Mus musculus: one gene and its partner. The protein of the gene in region 2 interacts with the protein of the main gene of each other region in a biochemical or structural test. Links are inferred from orthologs where the notes say so. Each region holds a gene or a part of one and is shown on either strand. Other genes may lie near its edges. The genes, in order: Arf5 and Arfip2.

Region 1 (4,422 bases), on a different chromosome or scaffold from region 2:
GTTCCACGTCATAGCACCACCCGGAGCCCTCACTTTCCTCCCCCCAAAACCTGGCCCCAAGGGTACCCCCAAAACAAAAAAAAAGAAAGAAAAAAAAGAAAAAAAAATCAAAAAACCAAAACCAAAACCAAATTAAATCCAGATCCCTGCTCCTCCCCTGGAAGAGGGGGCCTTGGCCAGGAAGCCCATCCACAGGTCCCAGCAGGCAGGAGAGCAGAGCCCTCTGTGCCCAGAGAGCAAGGCTCCAGGCTCCAACGACAAGAGAGAGCATGCAGGCAGGCGCAGGAGCAGAGGCCTGTCTGTGGGGAGGAAGAGTGGGGAGGAAGGGCACTGCCTGAGGAGTCCGGGAGTCTGGTCATCCCGGGATGCACGCGGGAGCTTCCGGGCAGCAGGGGCCTGCCCCTGGCTGGCTAGCGCTTTGACAGCTCGTGGGACAGCCAGTCCAGCCCATCATACAGGCCTGTGCCTTGGGTGGCACAGGTGGCCTGGACGTACCACTGTAGGGACAGAGAGAAGGAGATCAGTCTCAGGGAAGAGAACTCTTCCTTGTGCTAAGCAAAGATGACAAAAATTCCAACAGAAAACAAAAGAACAAGTAACACAAGATGCTATTTCTCTTTAGCATAGACAACCCCTCTCTTTCTTCTCTGTCCAGCGGGCCCAGGAGAGCACGGGGCCCAGTGCCGAGGGGACGTGAGCCTTACCGTGCGGCTACGCAGGTGCTGAAGGCCCAGCTTGTCAGTCAGCTCGCTCACGGGCATGGCATTGGGCATGTCCTGCTTGTTGGCAAACACCAGCAGCACCGCATCCCGGAGCTCATCCTCCTGCAGCTGAGGGGAGAAGGGAGAGTGGGACCTGTGGTTTCAAGGCCCCCCGGCTGACTGCACTGCTGGGGAGCTCCCATTTCAAACCTCCAGAGTCTTTGTAGGAAAAAGACAGTGAACTGTGTAGTTCATTGCTGAACGTCAACACGGCTCTAAGTAAGCTCCAGCCCCCTAAACTTTACCTCTACAAAAAAACTGAACTATCCTAATTTAAGAACTTGTGCTAAGCAAAGATGACAAAAATTCCAACAGAAAACAAAAGAACAAGTAACACGAGATGCTATTTCTCTTTAGCATAGACAACCCCTCTCTTTCTCCCAACTCCGTAGACTTGGATGGAAAGGATTTAAATTAAAAAGTCCTGTCTAAAGTAGATAAGATAGGACTTATCTAGTGCCATGACAGAAAACCTCCTGCCCTTAGTGTTCTGGACTTCCTACCACCCCCCGGAGGACTCTGTCCAAAAGCCCAGGGCTCGGTTCCCAGAGCTCGGTATTTACCATCTTCTGGAGTTCATCAGCAGACTCCTGGACCCGCTCCCGGTCGTTGCTGTCTACCACAAAGATGAGGCCCTGGGTGGGAAGGAAGAAAGGAAGCAGAAGGGGTCACTCCTACCTAGGTCCCACCCTCACCTGGCCTGGTCTCACTTCTCCCATCTTGAGTTGTATTAGCCTTTCTTATCTGGTAAACTTCTAGTCTGCAGAGACCACTGAGGGAGGGAGGGAGGGAGCGAGGGAAAAGCTGTGTTGTTGAGAACTACAGAAGACAGCATGGCCCTAGAACTCTGCTTCCCAGAATAAGGTGAGGGTGAATTCTTAAGCTTAGCAAAGATGAGAGCGGTGACAGCCCAGTCGTGGTCTAACTCAAGCCCTCTCCCAGGGGTTGTCTCCCCCACCTCCCAACCCAACTGCACCTGAGTGTTCTGGAAGTAGTGCCGCCACAGAGGCCGAATCTTATCCTGGCCTCCAACATCCCACACTGTGAAACAGATGTTCTTATATTCCACTGTTTCCACATTGAAGCCTGCAGGAAAAACCATTTTTTTTTTTTTTTGAGTGAAGAGGGTAAAAAACAGGTCCTCAAAGGAACTCACTAAAACCACTCCGATCTCTGCAAAGGACACAAATCCAGAAGGCAATGACCACCAAGGCCAAGGGGAATAGAATCCAGAGGACCGGAGGTCAACAGATATGCTAGGCTCATGGTCCACGCCTCAGGCACCATCAGGCGCTTAGAGATACGGTGACCCATTTCTCAAGTAGCTGTATCTGGTGTCAGGGTCAGGGACAGATAAGGGCCTAGGCAGAAGTGGGAGCAGACCCCGACAAGGCTCAAAGCGACATTCCTGCTTCCCGCTCCTTGTCCTGGACTCACCTATAGTGGGGATGGTGGTGACAATCTCCCCCAACTTCAGTTTGTACAGGATGGTAGTCTTGCCAGCCGCATCCAAGCCAACTGCAACGGAGAAGGGGGGGGGGGGGGGCAAAGAATGGAGACGGGAGCGAGGGAGCCCCCTAGAGCCCAGGGACAGGGAGAGGCCTGGCCAGCTGATGGTGATGGGGGCGGAGAGCAGGAGGGCCTCCAGGTGCGCGCTCTTCTCCACCTTCCGGGCCTTGAGGGCAGTCTGGGTGGCGAGTGCCAACTCCTGCCCCTCAAGTGCCCGAGGGGCGAGAGGGGCTAGGGAGGTAGGGGACCTGGGAGGAAGGCCGCGTTCCTTTGAAAAGTCGTTTCCAAGGGCGGAATCCTCCCTTCTTAGCAGCCGGGCTGGGGCGGAGGAAGCGTCACCCCACCCAGGCCCCAGCTCCGGGTTTCAGGCCCAGGGCCGACACTGCAGATCCTGGTTTGCACGGGAGCGCGGCCCCCAGAGGCTTTGGCGGTGGGGTGTCTCGGGGTCAGGGTACCAGGTGAGCGGGGCTAGAGGGACGCGGGGGCGGGAGGGCTGCGGCGGGGCCGGCGCCCCAAGCGGGCCGCGCGCTCGATCTGCCTCACCCATAAGGATCCGCATCTGCTTCTTCCCGAAGATCCGCGAAAAGAGCGCGGACACCGTGAGGCCCATGGCGGGGCCCGGGGCGGGGGCGCGGGCAGGGGACGCGGGGCGAGGGCTGGAACCGGCCGGCCGCGGGGGGATGGGGCGCAACAGCAGAAGGAGGAGGCGCCGCCGCCGCCGCCGCCGCCACCTCCGCGCGTCCGGGTCCGCCCGACGTCACGTGGCCCCGCCCCTCCGGGTCCGCCCCGGCCCCGCCCCCCAGGCGCGTTTGCGGAAGAACTGAAGTCTAGGGAGGCCTGGCAGCCTGCCTGGGGACCAGGGCTTGGAAGGGGACTTGTTCTGGGTCTCCGGTGACCGCAGGACTTTGCTTTACTCTTAAGTGGTAAACTTGCATTCCTGAGAAGACTTTGATAGAGTCGAAAAGTACATTTAAAAGATTCTCAAAGTAGCTCATTGTCTTTTGTTTTGAAACACTATGTCCACTATGTAGCCTTGGGTGGTCTGGAACTTGCTATGTAGACCAGCCTAGTCTCGAACTCACGGAGATGTGACGGCTGCCTTGGCATCTTGAGTAGATTTTTATTACAGAAATATTTTCTTAAAACCCGTTGTCACTCTTATTTCATCTCTTTCCCTCCCCGCACCCCTCTCACAGGCTTGGTATCTTCATAATGTCACAGGAATCTTATTTTGTTTCTAGCTCCTCCCCACCCTTTTTTTTTTTTTTTTTTCGAGACAGGGTTTCTCTGTATAGCCCTGGTTGTCCTGGAATTCACTTTGTAGACCCGGCTCGCCTCGAACTCAGAAATCCACCTGCCTCTGCCTCCCAAGTGCTGGGATTAAAGGCGTGCGCCACCACGCCTGGCTCCCTCCCCACTTTTATTTCGTGTTCATGTGTGGAGGTGTAGCTCTCAGAGGACAACCTGTGGGAATATGTTCTCTCTTTCCACCGTGTGGGCCCTGGTGATAGAACTCAGGTCAGATCATTGGGCCTGGGTGGAAAGTGCCTTTACTGCTGAGTCGTCTTACAGTCCCCACAAGAGTCTTGATGGAAAAGAAAAAGGAGACTTGATGGTGTGCTCTTGAGATGAAAATCTTTTCATGTCTTGTCACCTAAGGTAAAATCTAAATGCCTTTAAGTTGGGTCCTTTGTTCCAGCCTCATCAGTAGCCACCCTTCTCCCACACCATAAGCTTCCTGGGCAAGTTAGGCTCACTGATGCCTGACGTCCCTATACACCTTTCCACTTTCCTCCATGCTGGTTTCCCACATCTGCATTGAGCTTGGCAGTCTACTCATCTCTCAAACTTCAAATCATTTCCCCTAAGAGTCTCTGTCCTGGCAGGTGCCTCATCTCCTTTATACCACTTCTGCAATGCCCCGACACACTAGTGTGAAGGCAGGAGCTACCTGTTTGAATCTCTGTGTCCTTGCTGTTAGGAGTTTCTTGGGACAAGGCCATGCTTCTTCAGTAGTGCTATCTGGCATAGCATGTAGTATGTTGAGAGGCAGACTGAGATAGGACTCCTAAACTTCCTAGCTGAGTGACATTGGACATGTTACCCCTCTGTACATTTTACTCTATGTTCCCGTAAGTGTAACTCTTGTGAC
Region 2 (4,330 bases):
GAGTAAATTGGGGAAATGGTCAACATTCCTGAATTCTTAGAGGCTTGTCTTTGTTCTGTTGTCACTGACCTCCTAGGAAGCAGTGGCTAAAGCCTAAGGGGGTAGAGTTTTCTTCCTGCTTTTGTTGTTTGGTTTTACCTTCTTCCCCTAGGTTCACAGCAATTCTTTTTGACAGCTGAAAATAAAAACTAGTTATGAGTCAATGTATATTCAGGTCCTTGAGTTAGTCCCAAGGACAGCCACTGAGAGCTCTCCTTTTGGAACCAATTTCCCATTGCTATTACTAACCTTAAAGCTCTACCCATAATCCCTGCTTTTGCTGGGGTGCTGGGAATGCTGAATTTGTCCTTCTACACATAAGAAGGCACTACATCAACCTCCAGGGCTAAAGGCAGTACACATGCACTAGATGACAGAATAAAGGCTGGTACCCATAGACAAATAACCAGACTGTAAAAACGGGTTTATTGGCTCCAAGAAAAGGAGCAACAGCACCCAGCTTTCAAGCTCAATCTCTCTGTACACATTTAGATAAGCCCAAGGTCCATAGAGGAGCCCATCCAAGCACCTTCTCTCCAGGGGCCAGGGACGGCTAGCTGCCTGATGGCGAGTCTCTGGTCTGTTCTGCAGGAATACCTGGCGCGGCCGAGGCAGCCTCGTAGTCCGCGATGCGGCGCTGGACCAGGGCGGGCATGAGGTGCACGTAAGCGGCCATGAGGCGGTGGTTAGAATGGATGAGTTTCCCAGCACAGCTGTGCAGGCAGGCCTCCTGGAAGGAAGACGGAGGGAAGTAGAAACTAAAAGGGGTCCAGTCAAGCCCGCCTCCTTCCTTCCCGGTCCCCAGCCTAGGAGTGAGGTCAAGAAAGAGGGAGAAGATGGGGGGCTGGGGGAGGGTGTCACGTCACGTTGTCAACTCTGGGACCCCCACACTGTCTCCACCTCCTCAGCGTCCAGAGCTCGGTGGTGCAGGCTGGGCACACAGCGCTGGAAACACAGTTCTGTCATCCGATTGTAGACCAACAGGAAGTCTCGCAACTGAGAGAAAAGGGAACCACGACTTCACCACCGCTAAGGCTCCCCGGGATGCACAGCCCGTCTCCCCCTCGGGTTCTTGCGTGTACCCCTGGAAACAAACTGCACGTCTAACCCAGAGAGCAACTGCGCTCTCACTCACGTTTCTCAGTTGCTGCTGCTGCTGCTCCATCACGCCAAGGGCGCACAGCCCTAGTCACTTCCGCCCGTGGCGGGGTGGCAGGGTGGCGCGGGGTTGGGGGGGCGGAGGGGGGAGGTTAGAGCTCTCAGAGTCGCCCCGGAAGTAAACTCTCACTACTCCCCAAGAGCTTGAAGGCGTAGCTCCAGGCTCGTCCTGCCCACAACTGCAAACGTCACTTCCGCCCTTTTTCTCTGCGACGTGGCCGGCTTCTTCTGCCCAGAGAGCATGTCACTTCCGCCAAATCTCTGACCTGCTGCTAGGATCGCGACGAGAACTGGAACCCGAGGTCCCCGCGCGGTCCGGGCCTCGCGCCCTGAGGGGAAGAGCGGCCCGGCCCAGGTGAGAAGGACATACTTGGACGAAGGGAAGTTGAACGCACGAACCTGTACTGAGGGCAAAATGCCCTGAGCCCTTGGCAAGGATGAGGACACACCTGATGCCCAGGTGTATGGGGGTGGGGGGAGCCCCTCACATCTGGGAGGCTTCAGCTGACTTTGGAAGGGATTGCCCGTGTCCTGGGAAAGAGAGCCTTTCACCTGACACCAGGAACATTCACTAACTGCTTCAACCAAGGCCTGCTGGGGAGGGCCTAAGGGAGTCAGGTGCATGAGATGGAGAAAGGAAGAGCCCAGACCGGCTGAAGGAAGAGGGGAAGGAACACCAAAGAATGTGAAAGACCAGGATTGTAGAGCATGCCTGAGTGGCAAGTGAGAGTCTGAGCCTAGGAAAGGGTTCTGGTAAACATTGCCTCTGCAGGGTTAAGTTCCCAGAGAGCATAGACCTCCCCTCTGGTCCTCACTGCTATAATCCCATTGCCTCAGTATCTCACTCATAATAGACACTCACTAGATAGTTGTTGAATGACTGAATGCATGAATGGTTACTGAAGGCGAGGTAGGGGGGTTATGAGAAGACACCCGAGGCTTTGGTATGCATGCATCTGTAGAGATAATGTCCTCAGAAGAGAAGAAACACACAAACTCAAGGAAAGCCGTGGTGGCTGATCCCAGGACACCCAAGCCCAAAGACAACCCCTGAAACCTCTGAGAACACAGGGAAGGCCTCCTTGTTCTGGAGTGCTGGCCAGTTTCCAGAATTGTCTGTGTTGGGCTTTACAGCGTGCTGGGGTGGAGACCTTGACTCCAGTCCCTTCCCTAGCCATGACGGACGGGATTCTAGGGAAGGCAGCCACAATGGAGATTCCCATCCACGGAAATGGCGAAGCTGGGCAGCTTCCTGAAGACGATGGGCTGGAGCAGGTGCTTCTGTTTGATTCTTCTCATTGTTTTGTTATACATTCCTGACTTATAAACCTTTAATTTCCCCTGTCCCGGTAGCCTTCAGTTAACTAAACTCCTTCATACTTTTCAAATCTTCTTTATGGTTCTGTACAGACTTTACTATGCACTGTCTCCGTCCCCAAAATGTTTCATCCATCCCTGTGTTCCTGAGGTGCCCCCCTCTTCTCTGACCTATAGGACCTCCAGCAGGTGATGGTGTCAGGACCCAACCTCAATGAAACTAGCATTGTGTCTGGTGGCTATGGGGGCTCTGGTGACGGACTCATCCCCACAGGTATGAATGATAGAGATAGGCTTGAGGGGTGGGGTGTTGAGACAGTTTGCAGGCACATAGACACATACAGGAAAGCTTGACTCCTGGACTGGAGAGCTTGCGAACTGCTGGTGTGAAGTTCATAGACAGTCCAGTCCCAGGCCAGCTCCCAGAGTTGCCCATCTGCCTCCCACTGGCCAGTCAGTCTCGAAGATAATCTCACTCGTCTTCTCCTCCTTGCCGCCACCATCTGAGCCAAGTTAAGACCTTAAGGTTATGAGCACTCAGGAGCTTAAGGCCAGTTTGGAGCTTTGTGAGGCTTCTCAGAGTTTCATTTTAGACTCTTTTACTGGCTAGAATTCTACCTAGAAATATAAGCCAACTTCTCTGTTTTTCTGTGTTCACCATCTTTGATCCTGCCAATCGCACATGTCATGTTTGCTTCTATTCCCGCTTATCTCGTACACCAACAACACTCCTACCCTACTCCAAGAATGCCAGATACATACATTGAATTGATTTGGTTGTCAGGACATGAGTCCTTGTTCCCCCTAGTGACCAGAAGAATGCAGTTGTCTGTCTAGATAGTCCTTCTTCAGAGAGGTCATTTCGTGTGTTTGGGGGGGTGGGGGGGAGGAGTGAGCCACAGAAGTGTATGGTTTTATCTAAGAGAAACTGGTGTCAGAGAACTTGGTCCTTTAGGGTCTGGCCGACATCCATCTCACAGCACGTCACCCTCTGGCCCTGGTGACGAGGTGGCCCGGGGCATCGCTGGAGAAAAGTTTGACATCGTCAAGAAATGGGGCATCAACACATATAAGGTAAGATTCAAGTGCTTCTCCTCAGAAATTCTCCGTGGGGACCTTTTCCCTTTCCCCAGGTCTTACTGTGTAGTCTTTGCTATGACTAAGAGAACGGGGGTGCTGGAGTAGTTCATTGTTGGGGTGGAGTTTAGATTTCTGACCTCACCCCCCCCCCCTTCCAATCAGTGCACAAAGCAGCTGTTATCAGAGAGATTTGGCCGAGGCTCCCGGACTGTGGATCTGGAGCTAGAGCTGCAGATTGAGTTGCTGCGTGAGACGAAGCGCAAGTATGAAAGTGTCCTGCAGCTGGGCCGGGCACTGACAGCCCACCTCTACAGCCTGTTGCAGACCCAGCATGCACTAGGTGATGCCTTTGCTGACCTCAGCCAGAAGTCCCCAGAGCTTCAGGTGCCTCAGCCAAAACAAAGAGGGTGGGGGTACTGGGCCCTGGTCCTTCCAGGCAGGCTTTCCTCAGCCTCCCTCCCTCCCTCCCTCCTGCAGCCCCCAGGGAGAACCCCTCTGGGGTGCGCCCAGTCCTGCCCCCAGCATCACTCACCTATGGAGGCAGCCTAAGGGTTTGTACAGAGGCCCAGAAGTTGGAAGGGTTGTGGGAGAGGGCTCACCAGTACCTCATAAGTAACCTGTCTCCACATCATCAAGAATGCCTTTGGTGCTTGGCCTAATCAGATTCCCTCCCTGCCTGCTGCACTAGCTCTCCGTGTTCTGTCTTGTAAACTCACCTAAGAACTCGTACTCCCCA

What was found.
Region 1: the proteins of Arfip2 (region 2) and Arf5 form a complex in vitro, tested with the Homo sapiens proteins (2 studies listed by BioGRID). The link is inferred for Mus musculus from reciprocal best matches to the Homo sapiens genes ARFIP2 and ARF5.

The regions. Positions count from the first base shown.
Region 1 is NC_000072.6:28,422,147-28,426,568, reverse strand, and holds the start of Arf5 (ADP-ribosylation factor 5), read right to left. Parts: upstream 2,966-4,422; 5' UTR 2,881-2,965; coding exon 2,814-2,880; intron 2,280-2,813; coding exon 2,199-2,279; intron 1,848-2,198; coding exon 1,738-1,847; intron 1,397-1,737; coding exon 1,325-1,396; intron 831-1,324; coding exon 705-830; intron 498-704; coding exon 411-497; 3' UTR 1-410.
Region 2 is NC_000073.6:105,637,467-105,641,796, reverse strand, and holds the start of Arfip2 (arfaptin-2), read left to right. Parts: upstream 1-1,380; 5' UTR 1,381-1,552; intron 1,553-2,331; 5' UTR 2,332-2,373; coding exon 2,374-2,472; intron 2,473-2,691; coding exon 2,692-2,788; intron 2,789-3,469; coding exon 3,470-3,588; intron 3,589-3,756; coding exon 3,757-3,978; exon of another isoform or gene 3,979-4,071; coding exon of another isoform or gene 4,072-4,143; exon of another isoform or gene 4,144-4,235; intron 4,236-4,330. Other genes in the region: Timm10b (mitochondrial import inner membrane translocase subunit Tim10 B), read right to left, coding at 637-769, 940-1,035, 1,175-1,204. UniProt on the Homo sapiens protein: Plays a role in constitutive metalloproteinase (MMP) secretion from the trans Golgi network. May have important functions during vesicle biogenesis at certain cargo subdomains, which could be predominantly utilized by secreted MMPs, such as MMP7 and MMP2.